Macaca mulatta: one gene and its partner. The protein of the gene in region 1 interacts with the protein of each later gene in a pairwise test. Links are inferred from orthologs where the notes say so. Each region holds a gene or a part of one and is shown on either strand. Other genes may lie near its edges.

What was found. The genes of interacting proteins can lie anywhere in the genome.
Region 2: the proteins of DMRTB1 (region 1) and IL16 interact in a two-hybrid assay, tested with the Homo sapiens proteins (2 studies listed by BioGRID). The two-hybrid records come from large-scale screens. The link is inferred for Macaca mulatta from reciprocal best matches to the Homo sapiens genes DMRTB1 and IL16.

What each region holds. Positions count from the first base shown.
Region 1 is NC_133406.1:187,151,193-187,154,401, forward strand, and holds part of DMRTB1 (doublesex- and mab-3-related transcription factor B1), read right to left. Parts: intron 362-3,209; coding exon 148-361; intron 1-147.
Region 2 is NC_133412.1:59,422,911-59,427,195, reverse strand, and holds the start of IL16 (pro-interleukin-16), read right to left. Parts: upstream 2,937-4,285; 5' UTR 2,457-2,936; coding exon 2,417-2,456; intron 2,016-2,416; exon of another isoform or gene 1,889-2,015; intron 1-1,888. UniProt on the Homo sapiens protein: Interleukin-16 stimulates a migratory response in CD4+ lymphocytes, monocytes, and eosinophils. Primes CD4+ T-cells for IL-2 and IL-15 responsiveness. Also induces T-lymphocyte expression of interleukin 2 receptor. Ligand for CD4.

The DNA of each region.
Region 1 (3,209 bases):
GTATAAGAAGGAGCTCATCCTAGGGCTCAGCACCCTTAAATTCCACGTCACTTCTCTCCACACCTAAACTTTCTTCAGATTAGGTACCTCTTCCTCCAGAAAGTCTCCCTGGCTCTGGCAGAAGCTGGAAGACTGGAGCTCACTCACCAGTGTTCTCCTTGTCAGTATCAAACAGGACGGTCAGTGAGAAAGATGACGGAGGCGGTGGTGGCGGTGGCGGGGGGAGGAAGTGGAGCGCAGAGAGGTAGCCTGGCGGGAGGAACTGGGGCTGTGGTGGAAGTGGTGGAAGTGGTGGAAGGGGCGGCAGTGGTGGCGGCGGCAGGTAGTAGCTTGGCTGGAAGTCTCCCACTGGTTCTGATGCCTGCACAGCACGCACAGCAGAGAAGCAGAGTGGAGAGAGAGTTAGCCAGATGGGCTGACCAAACATAGCTCTCACCCCCGAAGTGGGGGGCTCCTGATGGGGAGATGCATGGCCCCAAACACACAGGCACAGGCACTCGGAAGGCGGCATTCAGCAAACACCTGCCAAATTATTGAAGGCAAGAAGGAATACAGGCAACCTAAGATAAGCATGGGAACAGCTGAATGGTCACAGTGACAGAGCCCTTCTGTATATGCCAGGGCGACTGTGCTCACAATCCTAGGAGGGGGTTCTATTACTATTCCTGCTGTAAAGATGAAAAAATAGGTTCAGTGAGATGAAACTACAGGCCCAGGGCCCCAGAGCTACTTTGTGGTTAAGGGCAGAACTGGATCTCAAGTTGGCTGACTCCACAGCCCACTCAGCTGTCCAGCGCTGCTCTGCACTGGGGAAGGGTCTGAATGCATCCCAAGCCCACAGGACCCCCTGTCTGGCACATGTGGTCACTTAAACTCAAGTGCCAGCGGGGCCTTTGGGAGAAGAGGTTGGCAATGTGGGTGTAGAGCAGCTGTTTCTGAAGCAAGATACGCTGGGTGACTTCAGACAAGTGGCCTCACTGATCAACATTTTGCTGCTTCTGTTCCTTCTTCAAGGGATAGAATCCAATCCCTTACCACAGCACAGGGACCCATCACAGGATCTGGAGGGGGGATGACTACACAGCTCAGAGCTTAACCGAGAAACACACAAATGTCGTAAGAAATAATACTGAGTTTTGGATGTAGTTCCCGCTGTTTACTTCTCTATCTAGATGCTTCAGAGCAACACTTCCTGAGCTGAGTTTCATGGAGTCCTGGTGTCTTACAAAGTATTTTTTAGTACTCTAAAAGTGTTATTTGTTAAGTGACTTTGAGAAACCCCATATACTGTTCCCCACATTAGTGGGTCACACATGAGCATATTAAAGGCTTGGAAGAGTCTGCAAAAATCTCCTTAGATTAACCCAGCTAACCTGGTTGAACTTCATTCAACCACCAGGAAGGGAAGAAAGCCCACTTTTAAGTACCTACTATGTGCCAGACCCTGTGCTAGGTATTTTACATGCATCACCTTATGTATTCTACTCAGGAGCCCTAATAGACAGGTCCTCCCACCCCCACTTTACAGACCAAGACCTGAGTGAGGTCCTCAGAGGTCAGGTAACTGCCATGGGTCACATGGCTGGGACACGATGGAGAAGGCAGGATTGGACCCTAGGTCTGCCCAGCTCCACGGCCGGTGCTGTCCTGTGAACAGGAGAGCAGAGGGAGCCAAGCAGCAGCAGATGGGCAGGGACAGGAACAGGAAGGAGGAAGCTGTTCTGGAGAGCACCTCCAAGCCTTGGCAGGGGGCAGCAGGACAAGGATGAAAGTGATTCAGGGGCTCTTGGGTTTGAAACAGCTCACAAATCAATGCCTGATTCTCTCTCCAGACGTGAGAGGGTAGAAGGGGGATTATTAGTGCTTTAATTCCGAGCTGCTCAGCCAAGCATCTCCCTGGATCACAGCTCCTGCCAGGGGCCTGTGGTGGCAGCTTGGGCCCAGATAAACTGACTGAGATCACACTCTTAACAAAGGCCGTCTGGCAGGCCTGTCAATCAGAGCCCTGCCCTGGACGCCAGGCTCCAGGCTTCTGTGTGAGCAGACGGAGCGTGCTCTACTTGGCCAGAGCCCCTCTCTTTGTGTGGAGGCTGGAGATGCCTGGCTCTCCCTGGGCAGTGCCCACAGATGTCAGGCAGGCAGCAGTGCTGGTGTGAGTAAAGGGCCATGTGTGTTCTACCTCTGTGGGAGAGAGGGAGGGGCAGTGGAAAGCACCTAGACCCCAGACCTGACCTGGCTCTGTCACCAACCAGCTGTGTAACTGGAATCCTAGTCTCTCTCTCACCAGTTTTGTGACCCTGGCCAAAAGCTTAACTTCTCTGAGCCTTTTTTTCTCAATGCTACAATGGGGTACAACACCTACCTTGAAGGTTCAATAGGCACCCTGGAATTATCAAGGCCAGTGGCTTTCAAACTTTTTTCCCTTGAATCAGTGGAAAATGATTTTTAAGCACAATTTTACAACATCTAAGACAAGTGGAAGAGAAGCTGTTGCCGCCAGGCTGAAGCAGGAGTAAGGACCCAGTGACCTGTGTGCCCAACATGCCCGGGTGCAGCTCGAGCCCCATTGGACTGGCTCCACACTGTGTGGCTAATGACTTTCATTAGGGAGAGAGAGGGCTTTCAGCCATCCTAGTCTGGAAGGAGCTGGTAACCAAGGCCATAAAACTCAATCACACCTACCTCGTAGTACACACCACAGGGGTGAACTGACTTTACACACTCGGTTCTCAAAATTCCCAGCTTAGACAGAATACCAGCTAACGACTGACCTTTACTAATCTTATAAAAGGATTAAATTTCATTCTTTCAACAGGTATTTCCTAAAGTGTCAGGTGTTTGGGGGAAGGTTTCCGTATTTTTCATGACTCAGTTCAAATGCCACCTCCTCCTGAAAGCCCTCTGCAGTCTCAAGTGTGCTCTACCTGTGGGCAGGGAGTCTACCTCTGGTCCTGACTCTGCCTTAAATTTTGTGGTCCCAGTAAGGTGATATTACCTTTCTGGAGTCCAGCAAAATGAAGGGCCCTTCCAGCATCAGCATCAGTCAAGGAAGGGGTCACCCTGAATGCTCAGAGTCTTTCAGCCCACTGCCCTGAAAAGCACAGGCCATAGCCCAGGCCGAGTGGTGCAGACTGGTCCACACGTATGCTCCCAGAGACACACACACTGTGTCTGGGCAGTGCCTAAAGCCATCCACCAGCACTCGGGGG
Region 2 (4,285 bases), on another chromosome or scaffold:
TTCCAAGTGTTTGGGAAAGTGATTTCACTCTTTGTATATTGAAAAGTAAATAGGAAATTAGGAGGAGACAGAGAGTAATAAAACTACATCCAAGTTTGTCCCGGGCAACATTACATAGCTCTTAACTATCAAAGACATATGGCAGTGTCTCATGTGGTTTTACTTTTTTTGAGGGGGGAGAAATGTTGTGGGAGTGTGGGGGAAGGTGTGCAGCAGAATCCTCCTCAAACCCTATGCCCCACCCTCCAGCCCTACGCAGAGCCTCCCTCTGCTTCCCATAGGCCCAGCCCCTCCTTGCTGACAGCTGGCCAAGTCCCAAGGATCCCCAGGTATCTCGATTCATATTTCCCAGCAGGAGTCAAGGCACCTACGGTGGAGACCACAGGACCCAACTATTATTAAGGACACATCCAACCACCATGGCCACATGCTCAGAATCTGCATATGTGAAATAGCAGAGCTGGAGTGTTGTTAGGGGCCATCTCTAGTCCAACACCCTTCCATCCACTTTATAGACGGGGACACTGAGTCCCAGATATGGAAAGGGGCTTATCCAAAGTCACACTGCTATGCAAGGATTTAACTGGACAGGTGTCCCTGCATGTGAATGCCCAGTCTTCTAACAGCCTAACTCAGAGAAAAGAAGGGACTGCATCAAATGTATTGAGTAGATGATGGGGCATCGCCCAGATAAGCTCCTCAACCCTGGACCGAGGCGTTCATTCCCACAGCTGGCATAGGGTTGTCTGTGACAACTCACAACTGAGTCCCTCTCCAGAAACTACCTTCAGCCAAAGACAGCTGCCTCGCCCAAGGTTATGCCTGGGTTCCAGGGGCAGCCCACAAGCAATGACTGGTCACTGCAGGGATACAAAACCCCACAGGATCCCCTGGATCTGCTGAGGCCGGTGTTGCAACTGCATCACAGCCCAACTTCTCCATCTGTCTGATTCTGCCTCCCTCACCCCACACTGGTGTTGTTCCCAGAGCACACACCAATGAACTTCGTATGTGCAAATCTCTGTCTCACCATCTGTTACCAGGGAAACGCAACCAAAGGCGGTGCAGCCAGGGTAGGAAGTGGTAAGACCTCCCCGTGAATCAGAGTGAATAAAATGGTTTCACCAAACACTGAGCACCTAGTAAATACCAGGTCAAGTCCCAGCCTCAAAGATCCCCAGTGGAAGTAAATGCATCCATGTCGTCTGCCTCCAAAGGGAGACCACCTGAATGCTCACCCCACTTTCTGCTACACAAAGAGCCAGGGCTACTTTGGGCCCTCAAGTACTCTTTTCTTCATCCTCAAGCCTGTATATCTATGATGGTTGCTGTTTCAGAACAGGGGAGCAGCCTGCTTAGGAGAGCTGACATGTCCTCTGAATATGTACATGCCATTTGGGTCATTTCACATACTTTATCTTAGTTATTGTTTCTGCCTTCCTGTGAGGTAAGAATTTATGACCACCGTTGTGCAAAGGAGGAAAGTGAGCCTTTGAAAACCTTTTCCCAGGTAAAGGAGCCTGTTACCTTCAGAGCCAAGATTCCATCCCAGGTGGCCACGCCCCATGGCCCAGGTTCTTATTCCCTATACCCCACTGCCTTTCTTCAGACTTCAGCAGATGCCTTAATGCAGCCTAAGCAAGTGGATGCCAGGGTTCCAGCCATGTCTTTCTGGAGCTAGAAAAGTCAGAATATGCCTTTGACTTGCTTACTTCTCCTTTTTAAGGAAAACTCTTATGCCAAAGTTGCAACGGACCTGAAGTTTCGCCAGTGTTAACTTTAAAAGTTGGGCAGAAGGGTTAAAACGTTTTGCTCTGATGCCTGTTTATGTTTCCAGAGCAAAGGAAGAAGATCGTAATAAGAAATGCTCTCATCCATTGGGCTGTACCTGCAGGAAGGTAGGGGGTCTGGATGGAGGCCCCTCCCAGCTCTCAGATCTTCTCCAGAGACCTGCGCTCCGTTCACTTCTCCCGGAGCTGAGCAGCTCCCTCTTCCGCTCCGCTTCTGCTGAAACTGGAGCGGAGCTGGTGGGGACCCTGACAGCTACAGCGTTTTAGACACTGATGCCTCTGCCCCATGAAGAGGAAGCCAGGGCACACGGAAAGCCACTGCCCTGGCCAGGGTTCACTCTCATCCCTGGGGGGTCCTGCAATTGCCCTTCCTGAACTCTCTGCCAAGCACATGGTAAGCATTCAGCCAGCCTCTGCAAAGACAGGCATTGTGTCCTACTGCAGCACACATGTGTGCCCCCACACACTTACATGTGAGCACACACACCACTGACACACTCACTCATATACTACACAGTGTGGCCAAAACCATGCTTCCACTCCCCTGGGAGGTCGTCAGGAAGGGTCCACCCCTGCATTCCAACCTCCCCTGAGTCCCCTGGGATAGGAGAAGCAGCTCCACTCACCGTTCTGCCTTCTCGGGAAGACTCTCTTCTGCAAACTCATCACACAGGGTTTGAAGGAGGGAGAGAGAGTTGTCAAAAGTTCCTCCAAACCAGGATCAGGGGTCCATGGGAGGGTCGATGGCAGCTTCTCGACTGGGAGTATTTGAATATGAGTTAAAACTACAAAGTAACTCCTCGTTACAACTGTTTTTTTCCTCGGCAGGGAAGGAGAAAAAAAAATCCCTTTCCCTCTGCCAGAAAATCTTTAACGTTTCACAACGGTCGTTTCCAACTCCTGCCCTCCTTGAGAAGCAAATGTGTATAAAAGCAATGTTATTTCACTGAATCAAGCCCTCAGATCATAAGCCTTTTCCTGTACCACAAACAGAAATGTAAAACCTCAAACTTTCCTTTGGACTTGGAGTCTGTTGTGAGAGGGCAGAACACAACCCTTTCTGAGGTCTAATGTATGGAAAATGTGCCGCACTGTTTAGATCATCGCAAGCACTTGAATCTCTGCCCCTCTCTTCTACTGTGTGTTTTTTTTTTTTTTTTTTTTTTAATGAGTTCTGGTGTGTTTATGTAATTGCATGGGACAAACACAACACCTAAAATCCTTGCCCAAAGTTGAAGTGATTCATTTTCTCCTTCACACACACCACACACAAACACAGTGCCTGTTTAATCCAAGTGAAAACGCCTTTCATAAAATCTGCAAAGAGCTTGGGCAGAGAGACCCATGGTGAATGCAGCCTGTGTCCTGAGAAGGGCAACTGGGCTCGGGGGAAGGTGGAGGCAGACTTTAATCAACACAAACAGAAGGCGCTCTGACTCCTGCCATGCCAGGACAAAAAAGGGATAAATGAAAAAGGGATTTGGGCTCTGGGTAATGGTGCTGTAAAATGTTTTCAGCCTACTCTATCCAATTTCCTCTGCTTGCCTTCTCATACCAGGACATTTTATTTTTGGACTTGGACAAGATGTACTATTATTTAAAATGACCAATTTGACCGCTGGGTTAAATAAATCCTTGGATCACCGTTGGAAAGACCAAAAGAATATACAGTGAGTGGGCAAACAGAACTGAAACCTGAGAAAGTAATATCCACCCCTCTAGTGGAAGAGTGTGATGATTTTCTGGACATAGCAGTGTGAGACTGAATGGAAGGGAAAGCCTGCTCTGTTTGATAGAGAGAGAAAAACTTACCAGGAAAGCAAGTGAGACAGATCCTGGTCTAGTCCCTGAGTTATCTGTCACCAGCCAAGGGCCCCAGGTGTTTTTGGGATGGACCCCCTGCCGTGGTGCCTCTGCTACCACTCAGGGCTCCAAAGAATCGTGGCCACTGGCATCACCATCACTCTGCTCAATCCACTGCCGAGACACTGTGACTTTCCTATTCCCTCCGCACCCCTCACCCCCATGCAAACATGCTTTAGATAATCATTTCTCAAGGCAGTGCTACAGGTTGCCAGAGAAACTCTGCTATCAGCACCTGGAGTCAGAACAGCTCCCTGAGAGCCATCATCACCCCTGGGTGAAGGTGGGGACCCCACACTGGCACTTCGTGGCCCTTCCTTACTCTGATTATTGAATGAACTGCCCAGGCTCTGAAACTGCAGGATGCTGCAGCTGTGCCAGGAGCACTGTGAGGGCCAGAAACTGGCCTTGCATGTTAGTGGTACCCAACGGCAGCAACAACAGGCAATAGGCTAGACAAATTCTGGGAATACTCTGCAGATATTAAGATGATGTGAGGCCGGACACCATGGCCCACGTCTGTAATCTCCGCACTTTAGGAGGCCGAGGTGGGTGGATCACCTGAGGTCAGGAGTTCAAGACCAGCCTGGCCAACATGGCAAAACCCCGTTTCTACTAAAAATACATAAATT